Saccharomyces cerevisiae S288C: one gene and its partner. Changing the gene in region 1 together with any one later gene gives a genetic interaction. Each region holds a gene or a part of one and is shown on either strand. Other genes may lie near its edges.

Evidence for each region.
Region 2: mutations in VBA4 (region 1) and HOL1 together harm fitness more than expected from each alone (negative genetic interaction), as found in Saccharomyces cerevisiae (one large-scale study listed by BioGRID).

What each region holds. Positions count from the first base shown.
Region 1 is NC_001136.10:686,466-698,925, reverse strand, and holds VBA4 (Vba4p), read right to left. Parts: upstream 10,700-12,460; coding exon 8,393-10,699; downstream 1-8,392. Other genes in the region: INO2 (Ino2p), read left to right, coding at 1-372; serine/threonine protein kinase KIN1, read right to left, coding at 1,032-4,226; DPB4 (DNA polymerase epsilon noncatalytic subunit), read right to left, coding at 4,751-5,341; TRM1 (tRNA (guanine26-N2)-dimethyltransferase), read left to right, coding at 5,665-7,377; COX26 (Cox26p), read right to left, coding at 7,712-7,912; APC4 (anaphase promoting complex subunit 4), read right to left, coding at 11,086-12,460. UniProt on the Saccharomyces cerevisiae protein: Transporter required for vacuolar uptake of basic amino acids.
Region 2 is NC_001146.8:725,113-737,040, reverse strand, and holds HOL1 (Hol1p), read left to right. Parts: upstream 1-6,854; coding exon 6,855-8,615; downstream 8,616-11,928. Other genes in the region: MNT4 (putative alpha-1,3-mannosyltransferase), read right to left, coding at 1-238; BIO3 (adenosylmethionine-8-amino-7-oxononanoate transaminase), read right to left, coding at 1,308-2,750; BIO4 (dethiobiotin synthase), read left to right, coding at 2,972-3,685; BIO5 (Bio5p), read left to right, coding at 3,738-5,423. UniProt on the Saccharomyces cerevisiae protein: Seems to be involved in the uptake of several cations and of histidinol.

The DNA of each region.
Region 1 (12,460 bases):
TTACCCACAAACACAGCAGATGTGCCAACTGAGTTCACCACGAGGGAAGGACCTCATCAGCCTATCGGCAATGACCACTACAACCCGCCACCGTTTTCAGTACCTGAGATACGAATCCCAGACTCTGATATTCCAGCCAATATCGAGGACGACCCTGTGAAGGTACGGAAATGGAAACACGTTCAAATGGAGAAGATACGAAGAATAAACACCAAAGAAGCCTTTGAAAGGCTCATTAAATCAGTAAGGACCCCACCGAAGGAAAACGGGAAAAGAATTCCCAAGCATATTCTTTTAACTTGTGTAATGAACGATATCAAGTCCATTAGAAGCGCAAATGAAGCACTACAGCACATACTGGATGATTCCTGAGCTCATACAAGCTATTAGTGATGAAAATGGCCTCCCGTTGGATGTATTTTTAGTTAATTTCGTATACATGGGCGAAAATATCATATGATTGCAAAGCTGGTCATGTAAATATATTCATTATAAACCAGACGGTAGAAAATCTCGTTTCTTTCCAGAGTGTAGCGTAGATTTTTGCGGACAAGAATTACCAGTATCTTCATTTTATTTAGAAGTTAAGAGAATCCGGAGGCAATGATGGTGAAGTAAAGAAATCTTTCAACGGCGAAGTATAATCTGTCTTCACAAACAGAATAACTGCGTACAAACTCGCAGTTATATGACCGTTACGAGTTGTATTGATTCAGTGAAGTAATAGTCCTATTACATCCATATGAATCCTGTCCTGGTAAACGGTGCAATGATCGCTCTACGTATACAAATTCTCTCCATCAATCGATGATGAACTGCTTTACACATAAAGTACGTGCCATTTATTTATAAATAATACCAATTAAGGGACGAAAATATTAACTGCTGAGTGTCTGCTTAGGTCCATTCTATTTCTTCTTTCCAAAAGAGAATAAAAAGAATCTATATATATATATAAATTTCTATCGAACGGATATTCTTGTTTTCGAATATCAAAAATGTAAGCTGTGGTTTCTCAGGGAACGTGTTACTTACAACTTTAGTTCTTTTAATATACTAGAAGCCAGCTCTTTATACAACCAAGTGTTCCCAGAAATTTTCTTAAAATGCACACCGGCTAAACCAACAATACGAACCTTGACGATATGAATTTCGAATTTGATGGGCTCTTTTTCTGTTGTAGTCATGCCTTCGCTACCGTCACCTTGTTGGTGGATGTTCTCCAAAGATGTTCCCGAATGCTTATCATCTCCATAGGTTTCGGTAATAGATGTTTTTCTCTGGTGAATGGAATTAGTTGTCAAAGGAGAAGAAGGTGAGTATTTATTAGAGCCTTGACGTCTAATGGATTCGTGGTGCGAAAGTGGCATGATCGATCTTGGAGTCCCTTCTCTCTTCGCTGCCACATTATTGGAAGAGAACCTTTGCATACAAACAAAACCACCCTTAACCTCCTTGAACTCTATATTCATTTTCCTCAGAACAAACATAATCTTGTATCTAACAATTGGCAAAGGCTTCGATGAAGTTGTCTGAACAGAAAAGAAACCCTTCAAAAATAAAGAACGGGGGAAATCGATGGATGGCATAGAACCGGCTGGAGCTCTAGAAGCTTCCTGCAATATCTCTTCATCTGTTAATTCCTTCTCCACAGATGGCGAGTTTATGTGTGCGTTCACAGAATGCACGCTGACGCTATCATTCGTCTGTGAAGTAACATTTCCCAAACTATCGGATTTGTTATCGTCACTTGATTCTAAGAACCCAGTATCTATAAGCTCTTGCTGAGGATAGGCAGATGAAGGCATTGGGGGTCTCATATATTTGAGTGATTCACGACGAGCATGACCAACTGATTTAGCTCTTGCGCTTGGATGTAGTTTTCGACCTTTTGCAACATTGAGAGGTGGTAAGGGATGATTCTCGTCGTCGTCGCTTCCTTCAAACTTCTGTGCAGCGTAAGCTTCCCGCCCGCTTCCTTTTGCAACTTCATTATTCTGTTTATTAATATCATGCAATTTCATTATATCTTCTTCAATTTGCTTCTCCCTTTGCTTCTCTACCATATTTTCTGCATCCGCAGGCAATGCTGGAAAGTCACCTTTATTGCCACCTCTGCTATCGTTTGTCTTGACAGGCTCATTCATGGTATAATTTGAATCATAACTCGGTTTAGCAAAACCAGGGACAAAGTCTGAAACAGCGCGAGAATGCGTCTTTTGCACAGGTTTATTGATACTATTATTACTATTAACAGATGTCTGTTCAATGGTCTTTTTACGGCGCTGTGATAATTTTCTAAATATATTCCCAAACTTCGCCTTTTCTGAGGGATCGCCAGTAGTTGAAGGTACCCTAAATTGTTGATAGTCATTTCCCTGAGGAGTTGGAGAGAGAGCATATTCCATTTCACGGCGTTGATTATCAGAACTTTTTCTACTCGTTGGTGACGTATGCGCTTGTTCTGGCATTGCTAACCTCGGTGGAATTAAGACATGTAAGGGGGGCTCTGTGCCATCGCTATTCTTTGGAGTGAATGGCACAGAGGTATCTTTTGTCGCCAACGTGGCTTCTGGCTCTGATTTCATAGCGGTTGTATTGACCTCTACGTCCCTTTGCTTCACACTTTCCGGTATTTCAGAAAGCTTTTCTATATTTTCGTGGCTCTGTCGCTGTTGTTGATTCCGAATTTTCGCATGTTTCCTATCAAGCATCTCAGAAGTCAAGTAATATATGGAAATCATTGGATGATATGCCCGAGTTGGGTCTTCAAAACTCTCTGTTATGTTTGGCGCGTTTCCGTTATCACTGGATTCTGCGTTCATTTTGGCCGCTAAAGTCCAGTATTGTCTAGAGAGAAGAACGTAAGTAGGATCTGTGATTATACTGACCAAAACACTTCTTGTTTCCTCTACATCGTCAATAAATTCTAAACGGTACATTTCTTTTAAGACATTTATATCAAGCATTTCGATAGTTAGGGGAACTCTTTTCGGTAAGTAAGAAGGAGGGGGACCATTGAACCCTCTTACCATCCAGTGGTGCTCCACAACCTGTTTAAGTGTGGCTCTTCTTTTCGGATCTACTACCAACATTTTGGATAACAGTGATATTACTTCGATAGATAAATGTTGGGGATATTCAACCTTACCTTGCTTGATCTTTTCATGTAAAACGCTCGAATTTTCGTCGTCAAATGGCACTTTACCGCATACCAAAACAAATAAAACTACACCAAATGACCAGACATCTACTTCAGGTCCTGTATAAGGATTCGCTTTTAACAGCTCGGGAGCGGCAAAATACAGAGAGCCACAGAATGTATGAAGCTGCTTCCTAGAATCATAAATATTTGAAAGTCCAAAATCAATTATCTTGATTTCACTGGAATCTGAAATCATTATATTTTCTATCTTCAAATCTCTATGGACGATGTTGTTAGCATGCAAATATATTAAGGCGCTCGCGATACCCCTAGCAAACTTTCTCGCTTGGTGTTCTCGTATTGACCCATGTTGGATGATATAGTCTAACAGCTGACCACCTGAAACATATTCAAACAACATATAGAAATGATTTGACAACGTGCACATCTCAAAAAGTCTACATATGTGTGGATGATATAAGATTTGTCCCAAGGACGCTTCTCGAATAGTTCTTTTGTCCCTAGATATTTCCTTCTCTAATTTCTTCTGTCTCTCCAAAACATCTTGTTCATTTTTGGGTGGTGGCAGCATTTGTTCTTTATGTAGGAAAGCCTTTGTAGCACGGTTTACAATTTTTACTGCACAAACCTCATTAGTGTAACGATGTTTTGCCAGCTTCACTTTACCCATAGAACCTGCACCAACTGTTTCAACAAACTCCCAATCTCCTAACGATTTTCGATGAAACTGCTTAGGCATGCCCTGAGAAGACGAAACTCGACTCTGGCTGGTAGTATTTGGCTTTGGTGCATTCTCTCTCGATTTACCTTCAAGTTCTACTTGTCTCTCCTTTTGCTCTGCTTGATGTGAGTTACCATTATTGGCGTATTTGATATCCGCCGGGGGCATTAGCGGTGTGTTCTGCTGCTGCTGCTGCTGTGGACTTTTTCCCATCATTCTCAGCGTAGCGGGCGCCATAGTGCTTGGTTGTGTATGCATGCTGTTGCTTTCACTATTGCCATCATCCTGCTGGTTACCTCTGCCCATTGAGAAGGCAGTATTTACGTGATAATCATCCATATTCTACGTGAGCAAAAAGTAATCGTAATAAACTGTACCTGTTTAAAAGAAGTTGAAAAAAAAAATGCGTAATAGCCCAAAATCCCTAGTATATTCAGTTGCTCTAATCGGAGCAAAGATGTTTGAATTTTACTAATCAATAGTTGGAAAATGAAAGACCGATAGGGTAGGGGGGCGAAGGGTGACAACTAATTATGTTAACTAGCCTAGGTTACCGTATGTCCTTATAATAACGAAGTAAATCTCAAAAAATTTCAAATCACAAAGTGGCTCTAACTAAACCTGCTTGATATCGTATCTCGCTAATACACTTCCTCAACGCCATAATTTCTTGTTAACGTTCCACCAATATCAACTTCTTGTCCCCTTTCTTTCCTTCCGCATTGGCGCCGCGTTGGGTTCCCCGGCTTGCAAATAACGACGATGAGTATAGCTTATTATGTATGTAGGTAATAAAGGCAAGTTACATACTACGATCCTGTGGGAGTGGTGGCAAGCACTACTAGACAGTTTCCATAGCGGGGTTACGTTTGCTCAAGGTTTTGAACTCTAGTTTCTACATCTTGGCTCTCCGTTTTCTGTTTCTTTTCGGAGGACTCTTCTACGTCCTGTAATGCATCGCCTTGTTCTTCTATTTCGTCATGCTCTTTAACCTTTTCCACGGGCACATTCTCCTTATCTTCACCCATATCTATATCGCCATCAGCATCTACTTCACCACTATCTAGTTTTTCCTTCTTCCTCTGTTCAACAGCAGCTTGGTATTCATCTAGTTTATCTCTAACCGGACCCTTCAATGCCGAGTGTCCTATATGGTCCAAAGCACTCAGAACATCATCTACACTGCAGCTTTTTTTATCTTGACTCTTTGCAATTTCCCTTGCAAACAGGAGCAAGTGGTTAACAAATACTGTAGCACCACGCTGTAACGCTAGTGATGCGTCTTTATTTATCAGCAGCTTTTTGCCGCTTTGCTGTGGCACTTCGCGTGCCAAATTCACAATAGTGCTTTTAGGAAATAACAGGTCCTGAATCGTAATGTTCTCTTGTTCTTTAATATACGAAGTAGTGGGGTAATTCCCTTGGGCGTCTTTTCTCCAACCTTTTGGTGGCATCGTGTGTAAAAATATATGGTCTGATATAAATAAGCAATGAAAGGCTTGACTTCTATTTCAAAGTATTAAATAATTAAAAAAATCCTTCCTTTCACCTAAAACCTCTAGGTAATATTCTGTGGCTTCTGCTATTGTGCCGCTATGAATAACAATTTTAAGCTCTGATGATCGAATCTGGTTTTTAACGTTATTCCAATTTGAGCCTTTCTTTATTCGTCCAAAGGGATAAAGCATTATTTTTTTTTCATCGCATTCAATGCTCATCGCAAAGTTACAGATCCTGAGCAGTCATAAGTTGATACCTTTCCTCTTACAATGTAGATATGGAAGGTTTCTTCAGGATACCCCTCAAGCGGGCAAATTTACACGGAATGTTGAAGGCTGCTATATCCAAAATTAAAGCGAATTTTACCGCGTATGGTGCACCAAGAATCAATATTGAGGATTTCAATATAGTCAAGGAAGGAAAAGCAGAAATTCTTTTCCCTAAAAAGGAAACTGTTTTCTATAATCCCATCCAACAATTTAATAGAGATCTAAGTGTTACATGCATCAAGGCGTGGGACAACCTATATGGTGAGGAATGTGGCCAAAAGAGAAATAATAAAAAAAGTAAGAAGAAAAGGTGCGCGGAAACTAACGATGATTCTTCCAAGCGTCAAAAAATGGGAAACGGGTCACCAAAAGAAGCCGTTGGTAATTCTAATCGAAACGAACCTTATATAAATATTTTGGAAGCATTGTCAGCCACTGGGTTAAGAGCCATTAGGTATGCTCATGAAATTCCCCATGTGAGGGAAGTTATTGCTAACGATTTACTTCCAGAGGCTGTCGAATCTATAAAACGAAACGTTGAATATAATAGTGTCGAAAACATTGTCAAGCCAAACCTTGATGATGCTAATGTCTTAATGTACCGTAACAAAGCGACGAATAATAAGTTTCACGTCATCGACTTGGATCCTTACGGTACCGTTACACCTTTTGTAGATGCGGCTATTCAGAGTATTGAGGAGGGTGGTCTAATGCTGGTAACTTGCACTGATTTATCCGTTTTGGCCGGTAACGGATACCCAGAAAAGTGTTTTGCCTTATATGGTGGTGCAAATATGGTTTCTCATGAATCAACTCACGAAAGTGCGCTGAGACTAGTATTGAACTTACTAAAGCAAACTGCCGCGAAATACAAGAAAACTGTGGAACCGCTTTTGTCGTTGAGCATTGACTTTTACGTCAGAGTTTTTGTCAAAGTCAAAACAAGCCCGATTGAAGTCAAAAACGTTATGTCAAGTACTATGACTACTTACCATTGTTCCCGTTGCGGCTCTTACCACAATCAACCTCTGGGCAGAATTTCTCAACGCGAAGGTAGGAACAACAAAACATTCACCAAATACTCGGTTGCGCAAGGGCCTCCGGTTGATACTAAATGTAAGTTCTGCGAGGGGACATACCATTTAGCTGGTCCAATGTATGCAGGACCTCTACACAACAAGGAGTTCATCGAGGAGGTGTTGAGAATTAATAAAGAAGAGCATCGTGACCAGGATGATACATATGGAACACGTAAAAGAATTGAAGGTATGCTATCTCTAGCTAAGAATGAATTATCCGATTCGCCATTCTATTTCAGTCCTAACCATATTGCATCGGTAATAAAATTACAAGTACCTCCCTTGAAAAAAGTAGTCGCAGGCCTAGGTTCCCTAGGCTTTGAATGTTCATTGACACATGCCCAACCATCGTCCCTAAAGACTAACGCTCCATGGGATGCAATCTGGTATGTGATGCAGAAATGTGATGATGAGAAGAAAGACTTAAGCAAAATGAATCCAAATACTACGGGCTATAAGATTTTATCGGCAATGCCAGGATGGTTGAGTGGCACTGTCAAATCAGAGTATGACTCAAAGCTGTCGTTCGCACCAAATGAACAAAGCGGTAATATTGAAAAACTAAGGAAGCTAAAAATTGTGAGATATCAGGAAAATCCAACAAAGAATTGGGGCCCAAAAGCCCGTCCCAACACTTCATAAGAATTTTGATTAGTGTTAGAGCTAAAACGTAAGAAACTAAGGATCCGCCCGAGAACGGTATAATGGACGGAAAAGAATGCTTCTCTTTTGTAATATAGATGTTTAAAGTAATCAGGAGGGCAGTATGTATGTGTAAAAAATAAATAAATATATATATATATTTGAGGAACCAGATCTCAAATGAAAAATATAAGCCAGTATATTTTTTGCATTGTAGCCACTGTTGTAACCTCTGGGCATATAAATAATAATGTATAGCGCCTAGTATCAAACTAAACTCGCCATGTTGGTAGTGTTACACTCATTTTTAGCAAATTTTTTTTTCTTATCAAACTCATGCTTTTCTTGCCTTACTAAAGAAGTATACAGCACCAGGCCAACCTAAACAAACGCTCAATACTGCACTCCATTGAAAGATTTCTGGAATGAGCCTTCTACCTTCCGTAATTACCCACGATTCACCTATTCTACCGCCTGTATACCTCTTGATTGGGGCAGCACGAGCGGAAGATCTCAAAACTTGGCTGAAGAACATTTTACCTATTTAGAATTAAAAGAGTCTGTAAATATCTGTGATATGGTCAAGTGTCTAAAAAGTACAGACAAGGAAACGAAATAAAAAAAGAATTGTTTCGTCATGCAAGAGGAAAGTATGAAAGAAAAATGACTGGCTTATATATTAAGTGTCATTTAGTCGGAGAAAACACTATCATAAACAAAACCATGTTTTCTTTGGTTGCCTACTGATAGAGGGGTTTCCGCTTGCTGCATTTTCAGCAAGTAAAAATCAAGCTATTCTGGCCATTCATTTCTTGCACGGATACCATATCCCCTTGTTCACTCTTCTATTCTTCCCCCGCCCCATACGATCATTTTTCAGATCCCGCCTTTGTGCGGTCACCACAATGATTGAAGTTCCCTGCATCTTTATCTAAGCGACAAAAGTATTATCGGGTTTAAGAAAAAAGAAAAAAAGTATTTGTATTATTTAAAGTATACATTTTCATCTACCGGTTCAAGATAGTGACAAACAATTTTGACTACGACAATGGATTCTGTTGAAAATGAATATTGCTACGACAGTAATCGTAAAAAAAAGGGTAGAGAGTTTGAATACGTTTCGACATGCTTGTAAATAACACTCAATCAAAGTTTGAAAAACAAACTTTGGGGCTGATTCGTGTACCCAATCTGAAGATTCCGTAGCGTGCTTGATAATTTTCAAAAGGTCCTTTTTAAGATAACCTTGCTTGCTAAATGGCATCACCTTCTCATGCATAAGTTTTATTAATGTTTTGTGGAAGACATAACCACCCAAGGAAATACCAACCGTCCCCCCCACGGCACCGAAACAATATACGATAGAACCACTGATAGGTGACTTTCTTTGTTCATGGTACTCATGATAAAGATTTGACAGCAAGGTCAATATCATAGAGGAGCCCAAAAATGGCAGAGACAAACATATATATTGCTTCCATACTGGTAAATTCAAACTTACCCCCATAAGTGCCACATATAGTAACAGGGTGGCTCCGCTTAAAACAAATTTTAGCAAAAAATTCTGTCCTTTCGACTTCCAAAAATAAGAAACACTAAAGTAACCCAGTACAATGGAGAAAAAGAATGGGGACAATCTCTCTGCAAGTTGTAAAGTGCTTAAATTTAAAACAATGATGAAGTACGTTGTACCGAATGGGATGATGCACATTAATGCTGCAAAGCAAAATGAAATTCCTATCATTGTCCATATTAAACGCTTGTCACCTTGTAAGGACATTGAAATTACAGAGTTCATGTAAGTATCGCTTGTCTCTATCAAGAAAAATAAAATGCCACAAACGATAATTACAGAAAATAGTAGCGCTTGAATCATCGTATTATTCTTTAACCCTGTTAAATCCAATGAGGTCACTTGAACGAAACAAAGTAGGAATAGCGTAAGTGTCAATATTTCGTATAAATCAGGACTTAATAGAGTATTCTTGAATCTTTTCCATAATGTAGGCGTTGGGCGTCCATATAAAGTGCTCTTAACAGAATACATATCTGCCAGCATAATCGAGGCATTCACAAGGCAAAAAGGAACTGGTATTAAGAAGGCATTTCTCCACCCGCTACCATGAGAAGAATCAAACAAGTTCATCATAAAGGGCCCAATTACCACACCCATAGCAAATGTTATCATAGAGGCACTCAATGAGTACCGACTGTCGTTCTTTTGAGAAAACCGATTCATAATAGTACTTTTGAGCGCTATTAAGGAACCGCCCCCAAATCCTGTGACACAACGGGCAAAGATAAACGTCCAAAAATGGGCAGAACTCCAAGATAAATAGCCACCAAGGATAAAACTGAATTGAGCAATACACAACAACAATTTTACACTGGATATTAAAGATAGCTTCAAAAATACCAGTTGCCCAATAGCATTACTCAATAGGTATGCTGAGATGACTAAGGATAATCTCCATAACTCATGAAACTCCGAAGCAATTTTGGACGCAATTACTAGGATTATAGAACTGTCCATTGCAATAAAGAATAAATAAGTACACATACAGGATGAAAATATCCGTCTTCTCGTCAGATCATGTACAAGTTCATCAGATGATGTATTTTCGACATAAGGAGGATTCAATCCGTTCTCTACATCCCCGATGCTCTGGGGTATAGAGCCATATCCATATGAAGTGATTTCATCTCCGCTGACTGGTACTTCAGGAGATGGTGCAACAATGTGCAAAGATTTACTACTTGACGTCTGGTTATCTGCCTGCACTACAGGCATATCATCAGCTCTTTCAAACGAATTTGAGGAAGATACTGGTAGCTCGTGCTCACTCATCGGAGTATTGCAGCTGGTAATACTTTGCAATGGTGATACTGATCTATCACTAAAATCTGTAATAGAGCTTTGCAAAGCTGAATTTCCACATGCTTCATGTTGTGAAGGCGGCTTAAGATCGTCTTCATTAGCCTTGTCCGCAGGTTTTCCTTTAATGCTATTGACCTCATCTTGGGGCGAGTCATCAATTTTTGGGCCTTCGTGAAGAGGCTGTGCATCAATGGTATCAATATCAACCGCTTTCGGAATTGATACCTCCTCTTGTTTACTAGGAGCTGATAATAATGGACTATTTTCGTTAATCTCTTCGATTTTGTCGTTTCCTAAAGCAATTTGATTCGAAGTTCTTGGGACTTTAGCCTCTCGTTGAACCTCATTCTTCAATGTTTGCACGCTCTTTCTCAAGTTTCGCTGCCTGTTTTTCAATTTAGCAAACTCACGCAGTTTCTTGCGCTGTCTATCCTTCTTCCCCATCTCTACTTAACCGACGTCAATTACCTTGAAAATGTAAAAAAAAAGTAATCAAAAGTAGCAAAAATCTGAGTAAACTGACACTTCGGCTATTCTATATAGTATATCAGCTAAATTATCTTAAGATAAGCAATAAAAAGTGAGATAACGATGAAAAAAAAAAAAAAGACTTGACACAATTGACTCCATTTTGAGATTGCGGGCCCTTGAAATTTTTTTTTTTTCTCAGTACACCACAGGCGGGTTCCAAACTTCTTCATAGTGCGCCATACAAAAGAAAAGTCTTGGGAGATGATGCATACGCTATTTACGCTTACATTTCATTACTACTATTATTGGTGATCATTATGCAAATACTAAAAAAAAGCTACTCGTCATCTGTCTATGTGTCAAACATTTTGTTTTTCTTTTGGAAACACTAGGGATGCGCTTCTTCCATCCACCGATACCTTCGCGGTGCATGCTATGAAATCATCATTTTCCCTATTCTCCCTGATGTAAGCAGGAATAGCTATTGTGCCATCATCTTCCTCGTTTTCATAGTTTTCTCCCCTATAATCGGTGACGTGGCTACTATGATAGTTACTATCTGACAATCCAATATCCCGAAGCAAGCTATGGACCCTATTCGGCACAAACCTTGTACTGCTCAACCTATAGCTCTTGAATAGCGCCGGAATCTTGACTGACGATTCCTTTGATATAATGCCTAAATTCTCATCTTTCAGAGTACCTATATATAGTTTCTTTTTGTTTTCTTCTGAGAAAGGTTCTTGAGCACTGTTGTGTTTTGTTACCTGAATAAGGTAGACTATGTAATTATGCTTTGGTAATTTTATGGCATCAAGCAAATTTATTTGCGAAGATGGATATTTTTGCGCAAAAACATCCGTTTTTAAATCAACCAGAATATGCTGTTGAATATGAGAATTAACATTACTTTGTGCAATATCTTTTTCCATATCAGACATGCTGTTAATTAGGTCTCTATAAAGTTTCACGTCGATTATTGAGCTAGGTTCCGTACCTTTTTTAGATAAGATTCTGTCAAAGTAACTTAGTAAATCGTATCCAAAGTAAAGATCATCCTCAAATTGAAATTTCAGTTTATAATCTTCATCTAGCGCTTCATGAAGTCTGTCGTTGAACCATATGAAAAACTTCTCAAAAAGTGTTTCGTCCCTCCCCAAGCCTATTATTGAATTTAATGTCATAGTTAACAATTTCTGTGAACTTTTTAGGAGCACTTCAACAGCTGTCAAATCTGACGTATAACTGAGCTTATTCTGTATAGAAAAGGCTTGTAATATTGCCCTTAACTTCTCCACATAAATAATGATTCTTTCACATGCGGGTACAAATATTAAAGTTAAAATCTGAACAGTTTTTTGGTAAGCTTCACAACCTAAATACTTCCACCTTTTAAAGTTCTTCTCACCTACTGAATTGCAAAGCCAGTCTTCCAAGTCACATGAGATCTCTCCAAGTAAAAAGAGGGCTTCTAATTCCGATTTGAGTTTGCCATATCCGTAGGCTTCATCACACAATCTTTTGACGAAATCTAAATAAGGTGTTGCCAGTTCCCGGTTAATGAACTCGAGATGAGTAAGCATATAACCTATAAGCTCTTTTATTACCATTATATAATTCAGCAGGTTCACTGATGATTTGCTCTGTAATAAAGGTCCTAAATTTAAAGTTTGTACAGTTCCATCCTCATAGAAGCACTGGTAAAAGCCATCTTGAACTTTGATAATTGATTTT
Region 2 (11,928 bases), on another chromosome or scaffold:
AAGATTTCCATCTATTCGGTTCATAGAATTTACTTGTCAATTCCGGCTTTTCATATTCCTCTATTTGACGCAGTCTAGAAAAGCAGTGCACGTTGCCAGAGCGATCATCTTCTCTGCGTGTTTCGAAATGGTCGGAGAATGGATACTGTCGGTAGACCCTAAAAAGAACAATGAGAGACAACAATGATGTGAAGATCAATGGTGCCAGTTTCTTAATTCTTCGTATGCGCAATACCATTTTTTGCAGAGTACGTTTTTAAAGATGGCACTTTTACCTTAACACAAGGGACTCAATTTCATGTTAACAAATTTCATCTTTTCCAAGTGTTACATAGCACTACCGATCCTTTCCTAGGTAACGAAACCATGATAAACTAGTGCTGCTGCTTTAAACAAAGAGGCGCAATGTTTACCTTCAGAAGAGAGGTCATACAATTACTTGGAGGGTAACATTACTAATTTTGCAGAGATTGCAACATAGGTGATCTTATATGTTGAAATAAAAACTACTGCTGATATTGCTTGCTTTGATAATAACAATATTCGAGGGAAAATACTGCCCATGCTACTTCAGTGTGATGGCAAAGCGTTTTCTCATCTAGGAGAGCAACGGTTTGATCCCCGTGAAAAGCCTGGGCCCAGTACATCTTGTAAGATCTTACACAATATTAAGTTATATAGACATCGTTTACTACATTCAAGGTCTTGTGAATAGTTACTGCGGATAGGTTAATAGAGGAAGATATAGTGCAAAATTTCAAGTAGCGGAAGATAATCAAATGCTGAAGGAAATTTACAGGTTTGCCTCAATAATAATCTTGACTCTGCCGGAAAAATTTACCAGAGGGTTCAAAGGTATGAGTTGTACGACCCGGTTCAACAGTAGTTGCTTGAAGAGTAAGCTGAGCCTATAATATCCCATCTTTTCCGTTCTTCTCATAATAAATAAAAGATAGGATCGTGAGATGTGTCAGCTGCTGAGGAGTGTAACTAGCGCTAATGGGAGAACATAGAAGAGAGTACCGTGATGGCACAGAAGGCGGGTAGGCGACCACGGACCATTTCGGTCCAGATTTCTCAACTCGTACTTCCTGTGATACGTTCTTGCCCTGAACTAGTCAATTTTCTCTTGTGCAGCAGGCTTCGACATAGTTTTATGATAAGAAAAGTAAGATATAAAGGTCCGCTAGAATAAATAACCATAAATTTTTTATTTTGAGTTATATCAATATAAATAATAGCGTAAAAGAATGCATTTTACGCAAGAAATAAGAATTCCTTGGCAAATGACTTGATGAGATCGTATATCATTGGTTTATGTGGGATTTCCACTCATGTAATACTTCAATCAAGACTTGATTAACCTTCGTCAATTCCTCTGTCGTGATCACATATGGTGGCATAATGTAACACAGGCAGTTGAAAGGTCGGATATGTACTCCCTTGGATATAAACTTTTTCTGGAACCACTCGGGATCTGTCTTCTTGTATAGCTCTACGATACCTACAGCTCCAATAACTGACACACGCTTAACAACAGTTCCAATGAGCCCATTATCTGGGTTCTTGATGTACTGGTATAGTTCTCTATAAATTTGGTTTTCAATTGCAGACACTTGTTTTCTCCACTCGCCACGCAGTAGTATATCCATAGACTTTTCTGCCACACTGCATGCCAGGGCATTGCCCATGAAGGTGGGGCCATGCATGAAGCAGCCACCAGTAGGGCTATTTGGAGAAGAGATTCTGGAAGCAACTTTGTCGTTGACTACCACTGCACTCATAGTCATATATCCACTGGTTAAGCCCTTCCCAACGCACAATATGTCAGGAACAACTTTGATCTGATCGGAAGGACTGATGCCATGTTGGTCCTGGTATTTTTGACAGTGCTTGAATGCGAAAATCTCACCTGTTCTACCAAATCCTGTAGCAATCTCGTCCATGATGAATAAAACGTCGTATTGGTTACATAGTTTCTGAACTTCGATTAAGAACTGTGGATGGTATGGTCGCAAACCTCCTGCACCCTGTAAGATAGGCTCCAAAATCACAGCACAGATCTTATCACTATGCAATTCAAATTGCTTCTTGAGATCGGTAACTTCTTCTGCATTCCAATGGTCCTCGAAACCGTTCTGGCTGGTTGGAAGGCCATCGACAATAGAGGGAGCTTGGGCGAAGATGTTCTCACTGAGTCGATCGTTGTAGATATGATGCATAGAATTCTCAGGATCACAAACACTCATAGCGCCAAATGTATCACCATGATACCCGTTCTTGATTGTCAAAAACTTTGTTCTATTTTTAGTAGCTTCCCCTGACATGTTTGATTGTAAAGCCATCTTCAAAGCTACTTCCACTGCTACTGAGCCAGAATCTGCGAGGAAACAGTACTGCAAAGAGGGTTCATCAATCACTTTTAAAAGTTTTTGGACTAGATTCACAGCTCCTTTATGGGTGAATCCACCAAGAAGGACGTGAGAAAACTTTAACATCTGCTTGGTAAGGGCCTCATTTAGTTCTGGATTATTGTACCCGTGAATAACACACCACCACGACGACATGGCGTCGATCACCTCGACGTCCACTGGTGAGTCGGTATCCAACACCAGCTTGCATCCGTGAGCACTCTTTACCGGATAAACGTTCAATGGTGAACTCAATGACGTATAAGGATGCCAAATATGTTTTTTATCAAAGTCTAGCAGTTCCGCGACATCTGGTGTATATGAAATTTCTTGGGACATTAGTTGTTATCCTAGCAATAGAAAACGAATTGCGCTGTTGACATCCTCCCGACCAAAAGAAAATGAAATATACAAACAATGGCTATTTATAATTCAAAATTATTGGGCAAAACAAAATAAAATCCCGCTGGTAGTTCGTTTACTGAAGTATATAAAGAGATATACTTTTTTCCACAAGTAGGCCAGTGAAAAGAACTCAAAAAATCACTAGCGCACAGGTCATGAACAGCAAATCTCAACAACAAGAACAACAACCAATTGTATTCGTCACCGGTACAGACACTGATGTTGGTAAAACCTTTGTATCAACATTATTGGTACACAAATGGAAAGCTGCATACTGGAAACCCGTACAAACTGGAATTGAGTCAGATCAAGGTGACTCCGAGACATTGAAAAATTTCAAAATAGCCGCATCAACTTGGCAACCACCTATATTCACGCCCACTTATGCGCTGCAGAAGCCTCTATCTCCGCTCCAGGCCATGGAGTACGAACCTAATGTCGACATCAGGTTGTTGGATTTCGTAGTTCCTGAAGAGTGGAGCGCAGAGAATCCATTGGTCGTAGAAGGAGCCGGCGGGGTTTGCGTTCCTATCACTCGTAAATTGGAAATTACGACGGATCTAATTAAACATCTGATTGAGACTAGCGGCCATCCAGTGTACGTAGTTGTCGTGGCACGCAGCGGGCTAGGGACTCTGAATCATACATTGCTGACTTGGAATCATCTTTGCGATAATGGCTTGAGAAGCCACCTTTTTGGGGTCATTCTCAATGGGGAACCGAATGAAGGCAACGTGCAGGCCCTGAAGAAGTTCGGTGTCAATATTATGGCACAGGTTGCACAATGTACTACGGCACATGATCAGGATATGGAGTTGCATGAACTGCCATCGGTGGAGTCATTAATGACCCAACAAGACGTAGAATAGTTTAAATAAAAAAGTTGCAAGGCTTTCATCAGCTATATATAAGTAGCATGGTATGAACAGAGTAGGGGCAGTGTTCCTATTTGTATATGAAAGAAATTTTTTTTTGTCTATTGTTCCAGATCGTCACAGGACGGAAATAAGAATGTCTAGTTCAGAAAGGTCAGAAGTCAAGTTTGACAAGCACTTTAATTGGTGGTCCCTATTAGGTATCGCGTTCTCATTAAGTTGCTCATGGGTCGGTATCTCAGCGTCGATGGCCGTTGGTATTGCCAGTGGAGGGCCACTGCTTATCATCTATGGGTTGATAATTGCTGCTTTTTTCAGTCTCATGTGTGGTATATCTCTGGGAGATTTTGCTGCTATCCTGCCAAACAGCAGCGGTGGTTCATTTTGGGTTCTTAAAATGTTGGAACAAGAATCAGTCACTTTGAAAACCCCTGAGTACGAGGACCCTTCTGACGATGATGAAGAAGTGTTCCTCGAGAATTATTGTCAAACTTTCAACGTGGAAGTTTCTTCTAAATTTCAAAAGGTTTCTTCCATGGTTGTAGGGTTGCTGAACTATTTCGGTGCCATTTTTACTACCGCAAGTATCTGCTCATCTTTGTCAATGAGCTGTATCGGTATTCATAAGTTGTTGCATCCGGACTACGAGTTAAAGCACTGGCATGTTTTTGTGGGTTACGAGTGTATCAATGCCGTTTTGACACTTTTCAACATTTATTCAACTCCGTTGCCCTATATCTCTCAGTTTGGGCTCTATACGTCTCTATTGTCTTTCGCCATGACTTTCATTATTTGTATTGTTTCAAGATCTGACAACACCGTAGACCCATGGCCCAAAGCTTCTAATATATTTGGGAGCTTTGATAATCAAACAGGCTGGAATTCGTCTGGAATGGCGTTTGTTGTCGGTTTGGTCAATCCGATCTGGGCATTTGTTGGCATTGACTCTGCTACGCACATGATTGATGAAGTGGGTTATAGTAAGTCACGTTTCTTAGTTCCCAAAGTTATTATCACTACCATCATTGTGGGCTTTGTAACTAGTTTTATTTATTGCGTTGGTTTGTTTTTCTGCATCACTGACCAAACGGCAGTCGTTGAGTCTATTTTACCTATCGTAGAAATATTTTACCAGGCCACTGGTAATAGGAATCTCAGTGTCTTCCTGCAATGTATGTGTATCACAACAGGTTTTGTTTCAGGCATTGCAAGTGGAACCTGGCAAAGTCGAATCCTCCAATCATTCGGGAAAAGTTACGCACCATTTTATAAAGAGGGTTCCTTGGGAAACAAATCCTTGAAGAAGCTAGCAGTGTTGACACCTGGGTTTAAGTCTCCATTATATGCCCATTTTTTGTCACAAATATGTGTAACGATAATTGGCTGTATATTTATGGGATCTAGTACCGCTTTCAACGCAATTATCACTGCATGCATCACCCTGTTACTAATGTCGTACGCAGTTCCTTCTTTTATATTCCTGTTCGTTATTAAAAAGGAAAAATTCATTCATAGAATCGAGAGTGACGTAAATTGTGTCAGCAGGCCTAACCGTCGTCGTATGTCTATGATTCCTCATATTATATGTATTCTATGGACCTTGTTCTGCCTGGTATTTTTATCTTTCCCATATACACTACCGGTTACTGCAGGAAACATGAATTACACCTCAGTAGTGTATGCAGTAGTTTTCTGCATTATCAGCATCGTTGTTTTCCCTACATGCATCTAAGATGCTGTTGAAAGAAAAACAGTCCTTATAAATTCCTAGGTCGATACTACCTTTTGTAGCTCTATCGTCAGAACTTCTGCCCTCCTGTATCATAGTTTCATAAAATAATTGTATATTTATTACCAGAAGTACCCTTGTATTACAAAACTAATCGCACACCACAAAGAGTAAAAGTAGGTACCATAGCAGCAGCGCTTAACCTATTCTCCGTCAGTATGAATGAAATATGTGGATTTCGATTACGATTCATTATAAGATCAGAACACATAAAGCCATTTTACTGAGCTATCTCAACTGCACAAACCATAACAAGTAAAAACTAGCTAGTGTAATTAGGAGATTATCGAAAGTCCTGGTCAAGCAGCAAGTTGGGCGAAAGTGTATTTTTGGTCCTTAAATAGTCCCGATTATGGGAAAATTACAAGTCATGACAAAATTTATTTTATAGGTGCACAAAATAGTCTGTAGATATTTTAATATCAAAAGAAAAAAGACGTATTCGCATGATAGTATATACCAAAGAAGAACGATTCAGAGAATGAATGTGGACAAGTTTTTTTGAGGAAAATGAAAACTAGAAAATCAAGGATATTGAGTACTTAGTCATTTTTTTCATTTTTTTCTTCGAGAAAATTTCTTTTTCATTACTTACTTATTTTTGCCAAGACATTTTTTTATCTTTTAAAATATATTCAAATAGTTCTTCTCTGAACAGAATTTTTCTCTCTTATGATGTACAATTACTTTCTTAAGTCACATATAATACCACACAATGCAAAAATTTCATGCATCAGCTCTCTAAGCTTTGAGAAATGTGTAGTTTGACGTTTACATCAAGGCCTGGTTGTGTCATATGAAATTCTACGGATATTTTTAGGGAGCTTTCGCCTAGCGAGAACAAAAGCATAACAAAAAAAGTTGCAGTTGATGAAAATTTTCTTTTTAGGATAAAGTTATTTTCCAGACAGAAAATTAAACTAAAGACCTCGCCGTTAACAAACCATAGTAGTTTAGACTATTTCCTAACCTTTCTATAGATTCATTTAATTGTCTATTGTCTTCAATCTAAACGATAAAGATAAATACGCAGTCGAATAAGAAAGAATTATCTGTATCAGTCTCTGAGGTAATATTTACTGAACCTCCTCTGCAAAAATAAAACAAGCCCATTTTGTTGTCGAAAGCGCTAGCATCCTTAATTTTACGATACTATTTCATGCTATTACTACCAAGTTGACATCCCTTATTATCTTATTTATTTGAAACTAGAAGAATAGCAAGTAAACACTAAATCCGAAAGAATCGAAGTATCATATTACAATCTACAGGATATAACAAAACAGCTTCGCAACTTTTGCATTTCTAACGAATATAAAGAAAAGAACTACTATAGAAGAAAGTTTGCGAGTGTGAATCTTAAATTTTTAACAGATGGACAAATATACCAACAGGGATCATCCGGACTATATTCCTGGCACATTTAACATCTATTCTTCCCAAAATTTGGAAAATGGTATTATATACGAATCAAAATTGAAGAAAACCTCCTCAGGAGTCGTCCTAATCCCTCAACCATCATACTCGCCAAATGATCCACTGAACTGGTCTAGCTGGAGGAAATTGGCTCATTTTGGTCTAATGGCCTTTATAACTGCGTTTACCGCCGCTACTAGTAACGACGCTGGTGCTGCTCAAGACTCATTGAATGAGATTTATGGGATATCCTACGATTCCATGAACACAGGGGCTGGTGTTCTTTTCCTAGGTATTGGTTGGTCCACTTTATTCTTGGCTCCATTTGCTAACTTGTATGGCAGGAAGATTACGTACATAGTTTGCACCACATTAGGTCTCTTTGGTGCGCTTTGGTTTGCTTTGGCCAAAAGAACGAGCGACACAATATGGTCTCAGTTGTTTGTAGGTATTAGTGAGTCCTGTGCTGAAGCCCAGGTGCAACTGTCCCTGAGCGACATTTTTTTCCAGCACCAATTGGGCTCCGTATTGACCGTGTATATCATGTGCACTAGTATCGGTACGTTCTTGGGCCCATTGATCGCTGGGTACATATCTGCATTTACCAACTTCCGTTGGGTCGGTTGGGTCGCAGTGATCATATCTGGTGGCCTTTTAATAACTATTATATTTGGCTGCGAAGAAACGTACTTCGACAGAGGCCAGTATATGACCCCTTTGACCAGCTGTCAATCGGGATACGAAGACGGTACCACTTTACAAAACTCTGACAATACGGCCGTGTCGCGCAGGAAACGTCATCTTGACGCTAAATTATCAACTCCTGGAGCCATGGGTGAGAAAGGTGTAGACCTTTCAGAGACGGCTGAATTCGAAGTTAACAATGAAGAGGAAGTTACCATACCTGAGACTCGCGAATTGATTGATGGTTCAAAAGAGCATTTGAAACCATACCCAAAAAGAGTAGCAATATTAACCAAAGCTACTAATTTGAAAGGCTACGGTTTTAAACAGTATTTCAAATATCTAAAGATCAACCTTAGAATGTTCTTATTCCCGCCAGTGTGGTTGTCTGGTATGTTTTGGGGTATTCAAGACGTTTTCCTGACGTTTTATTTGACCACTCAAGAAAGCGCCTACTACGAACCTCCATGGAACTATAGTGATTTTGGTGTCGCAATTATGAATGTTCCCACACTTATTGGAGCAGTCATCGGTTGTATCTGTGCTGGCATTGTTAGTGACTACTTTGTTCTTTGGATGGCTCGTCACAATAGAGGAATTTTAGAGGCAGAATTTAGACTATACTTCTCTATCGCAACTGCAATTATTGGGCCAGCGGGTTTGCTGATGTTTGGTATCGGTACCGCTAGACAATGGCCTTGGCAAGCTATATACGTCGGGTTGGGTTTTGTTGGGTTTGCATGGGGTTGTTCTGGTGATATTGCGATGGCGTATTTAATGGATTGTTACCCCGATATGGTTTTGGAAGGTATGGTTTGTACTGCTATTATTAACAACACGATATCTTGCATTTTCACCTTTACCTGTTCTGATTGGCTAGCTGCATCTGGTACTGAAAATACTTACATTGCTTTAGCTGTCATCAACTTTGGGATTACTGCATTTGCTTTACCAATGTACTACTATGGTAAGAGGATAAGACTTTGGACTAAGAGATGGTATTTGCAATCTGTCAATTTGAGAGACGGTGTGTAATTCAGAGACGTCTTTCTTGTATCTAGTAGATGATAGGAATTAAGTATTTTTTTTTTACCTAACTAGGATTATAATTGCAACAACAAAAGCGCCCTTCGTGAAACACGTGGGATACCGGTTAGGTAATATTACAGTTTCCTTACACACTTACTAAATACGCAACAGAGCATGTTATTAATCGTATATTTAAGTAATAATAACGTATTGACCATTCCTAAGACTGAAGCAGTACCAAGAAATGGCACTTTTTGTTTATATGACATAGTAAAAGTGTTCATTTGGCAGAAAACAAGGGTATCTGGATACTGCAATCCTCATTAGTTGCGGAGAGCTTTTTTAAAGTTTTATTACTTCGATAATGCTTTCCTCCAGAACTGGGCGCGCACTGAAGCCATAAACTGAGTGGTTGTCCCTGTGTATATTCTACAATCGCCTATTTGAAACTTCTGGGTGATAATATCGATTTAGCGATTGGGTTTCTCCCTTCTGAGATTCTGGATAAATGAGATGCTACCCTCACAGTAAAAACAGTACAAAACCTTTGTATAGTTCTAGTCAAATATGAACTCCTTCATTCATGGATTGTATACTATTGTTCTTGTTGAAAGATTCCTCTTGTGATTTTCATGGTGATTTTAAGCCTTTTTTATTGAAAGAATTAAATATTCACTAGGCTGCGATACGATAGACAAACGAAGTGATTGAAACCCGAATTAACGGATATGGCGATTATGTGTGTTTATGATCCCAATATTTGATTGTCGGAAAAAATTAATCATCTATTGGTGTGTACTCATACTACTTGTATCATATACAGTGTAAAATGACGACATAATTGATGGGAAACAGTTATCAAAGTTATTGGATGTTGAATTGCAAGAATTGATGAAGTAATAGGATAAGGAATGACAACGTATAAAATTGAAGGAGAAATAAAAATATATATTATATAGAAGTATCGGGCCCCTTTCGTAGATTCCTATATCCTACAGGATAACTTTTGGTACATTCTGTAGACCTAAGTTCATAGCTTTTATAAACAATTAATCCCAAAAAATGTCTCTTTTGATGATTAGATGTTAAAAGGTGATATTACTGACTACTTGTTCGAAGTGCCTACGCAACACTTTAGCTGCTTTTTTTAAGCAGCGGCAGATGAGGATTTAAATAACGCATAACCAAGAATATACCTAATGAAGTGAAGGTATACAGGCTGTTCTATGGACTTGAATAATACTGGCTACCCTGGCGTCCTAATGTCGTTAAGAAAGTAACTTGATATCAGATTAATCACAAACTTGGTCCACAAAATACCACTTATCTCATATAATCTAAATCTGACTAAAGGGTGTAGGCACGGAACTTCGGACCTAGAGGTATTGCTCAATATGTATATTTCTCAATGGTTCATCTAGGTAAGCAAGGCCTTGAATAATATACTTAATCTTGTCTGTTTCGCAACAATTGCTGAGTACAATAATGTTGGAATAAAAATCAACTATCATCTACTAACTAGTATTTACGTTACTAGTATATTATCATATACGGTGTTAGAAGATGACGCAAATGATGAGAAATAGTCATCTAAATTAGTGGAAGCTGAAACGCAAGGATTGATAATGTAATAGGATCAATGAATATTAACATATAAAATGATGATAATAATATTTATAGAATTGTGTAGAATTGCAGATTCCCTTTTATGGATTCCTAAATCCTCGAGGAGAACTTCTAGTATATCTACATACCTAATATTATAGCCTTAATCACAATGGAATCCCAACAATTATCTCAAAACTCACCCACTCTTCAAATAATGATGTGGTATACTACCTGAAATACGATAAAAAGTGTTGTATTACGGGCTCGAGTAATACCGGAGTGTCTTGACAATCCTAATATAAACAGTCTTAGGGAAGTAACCAGTTGTCAAAACAGTTTATCAGATTAATTCACGGAATGTTACTTATCTTATATATTATATAAAATATGAATCATGCTAAGTGGTGGAAGCGCGGAATCTCGGATCTAAACTAATTGTTCAGGCATTTATACTTTTGGGTAGTTCAGCTAGGGAAGGACGGGTTTTGTCTCATGTTGTTCGTTTTGTTATAAGGTTGTTTCATATGTGTTTTATGAACGTTTAGGATCTCAAAATGTCATACTGACGTATCTCATTTTGAGATACAACAAAAAGTATAAATCTTTGGAGGGTTGGCCGAGTGGTCTAAGGCGGCAGACTTAAGATCTGTTGGACGGTTGTCCGCGCGAGTTCGAACCTCGCATCCTTCAGTATTTTTTTTTATTTTGTCGGGGCCACCAGATCTTTAATGGCAAGACAAAGCGTTTTCAGATACATGAAATACATTGAAGCTATCTTTTTGAAGAAGAATACCTGCGTAGTGTTCTATGATTGTTCAAATAATATTTTAAAATGGTATTTTACTACTGTGTACATTTTATATGCTTAAATAAAAAAGAAAGTAGAGCACCCAATGTACGTGTGGTAAGGAAATAAATGTTCATAATTTTCATTAATGCATCAAACGGGATAAATGTTTTGGAAGAACGCAAATTTTGAAAATAGATTCCATTGGCTCTTGATAGTTGCTTTACGTATATTTTGTTTAGCCTTCTTTCCCTCATATAAGTATGCAGCTCTTCATTTTCCAAACCAGGATGAGATATGGATATATAGTTTCCCACTGAATCTTTGTGTCAATGCTACGCCCATCTTCTGCACGTCAGAACAGAATAACTACCTTGAGAAGAAAAAAAAAATACAAATGGTGGTTACTTGATAATGAATATGCTCTAATTGAAAAGAAATCTCCCTAGATATGATACCGCCCTCGACGACCCGATCTTTGGTATTTGGTAGGACTGTATCATCTTATTCCTCACATCATAGCAATTTTGTTCGTCATAATGTTCCTTTAGTTCTCAGAGTCATATGAATTCTATTTCCATAGAATTTTCCATTTTGAGCAATACGGGGAGTCGCTACCTCGATTCTAAGTTATGCTGCATTGACTTTATTGTGTGATATACATATCGATGTACTAGAAAGGGTTTGGTTTGGCCAAGTTTTTTATTATGAGGGTGCATTTTTTCTGTTTTAACACATTTCTCATGATCCTAATAGAAGGTTGAGTAGAGATGTACATAATATTTTGCGGAAAGTTTCGACACGTTCATTAGGTTCTAAAAAATTATTATTTTTCATAAGCTATTGAGATCTTATCACCTTGCTCTGTAATTCTAAAGTTGTTCTAAAACCGCAATTAATGTTTCAATTTTGGCGCTATTAATA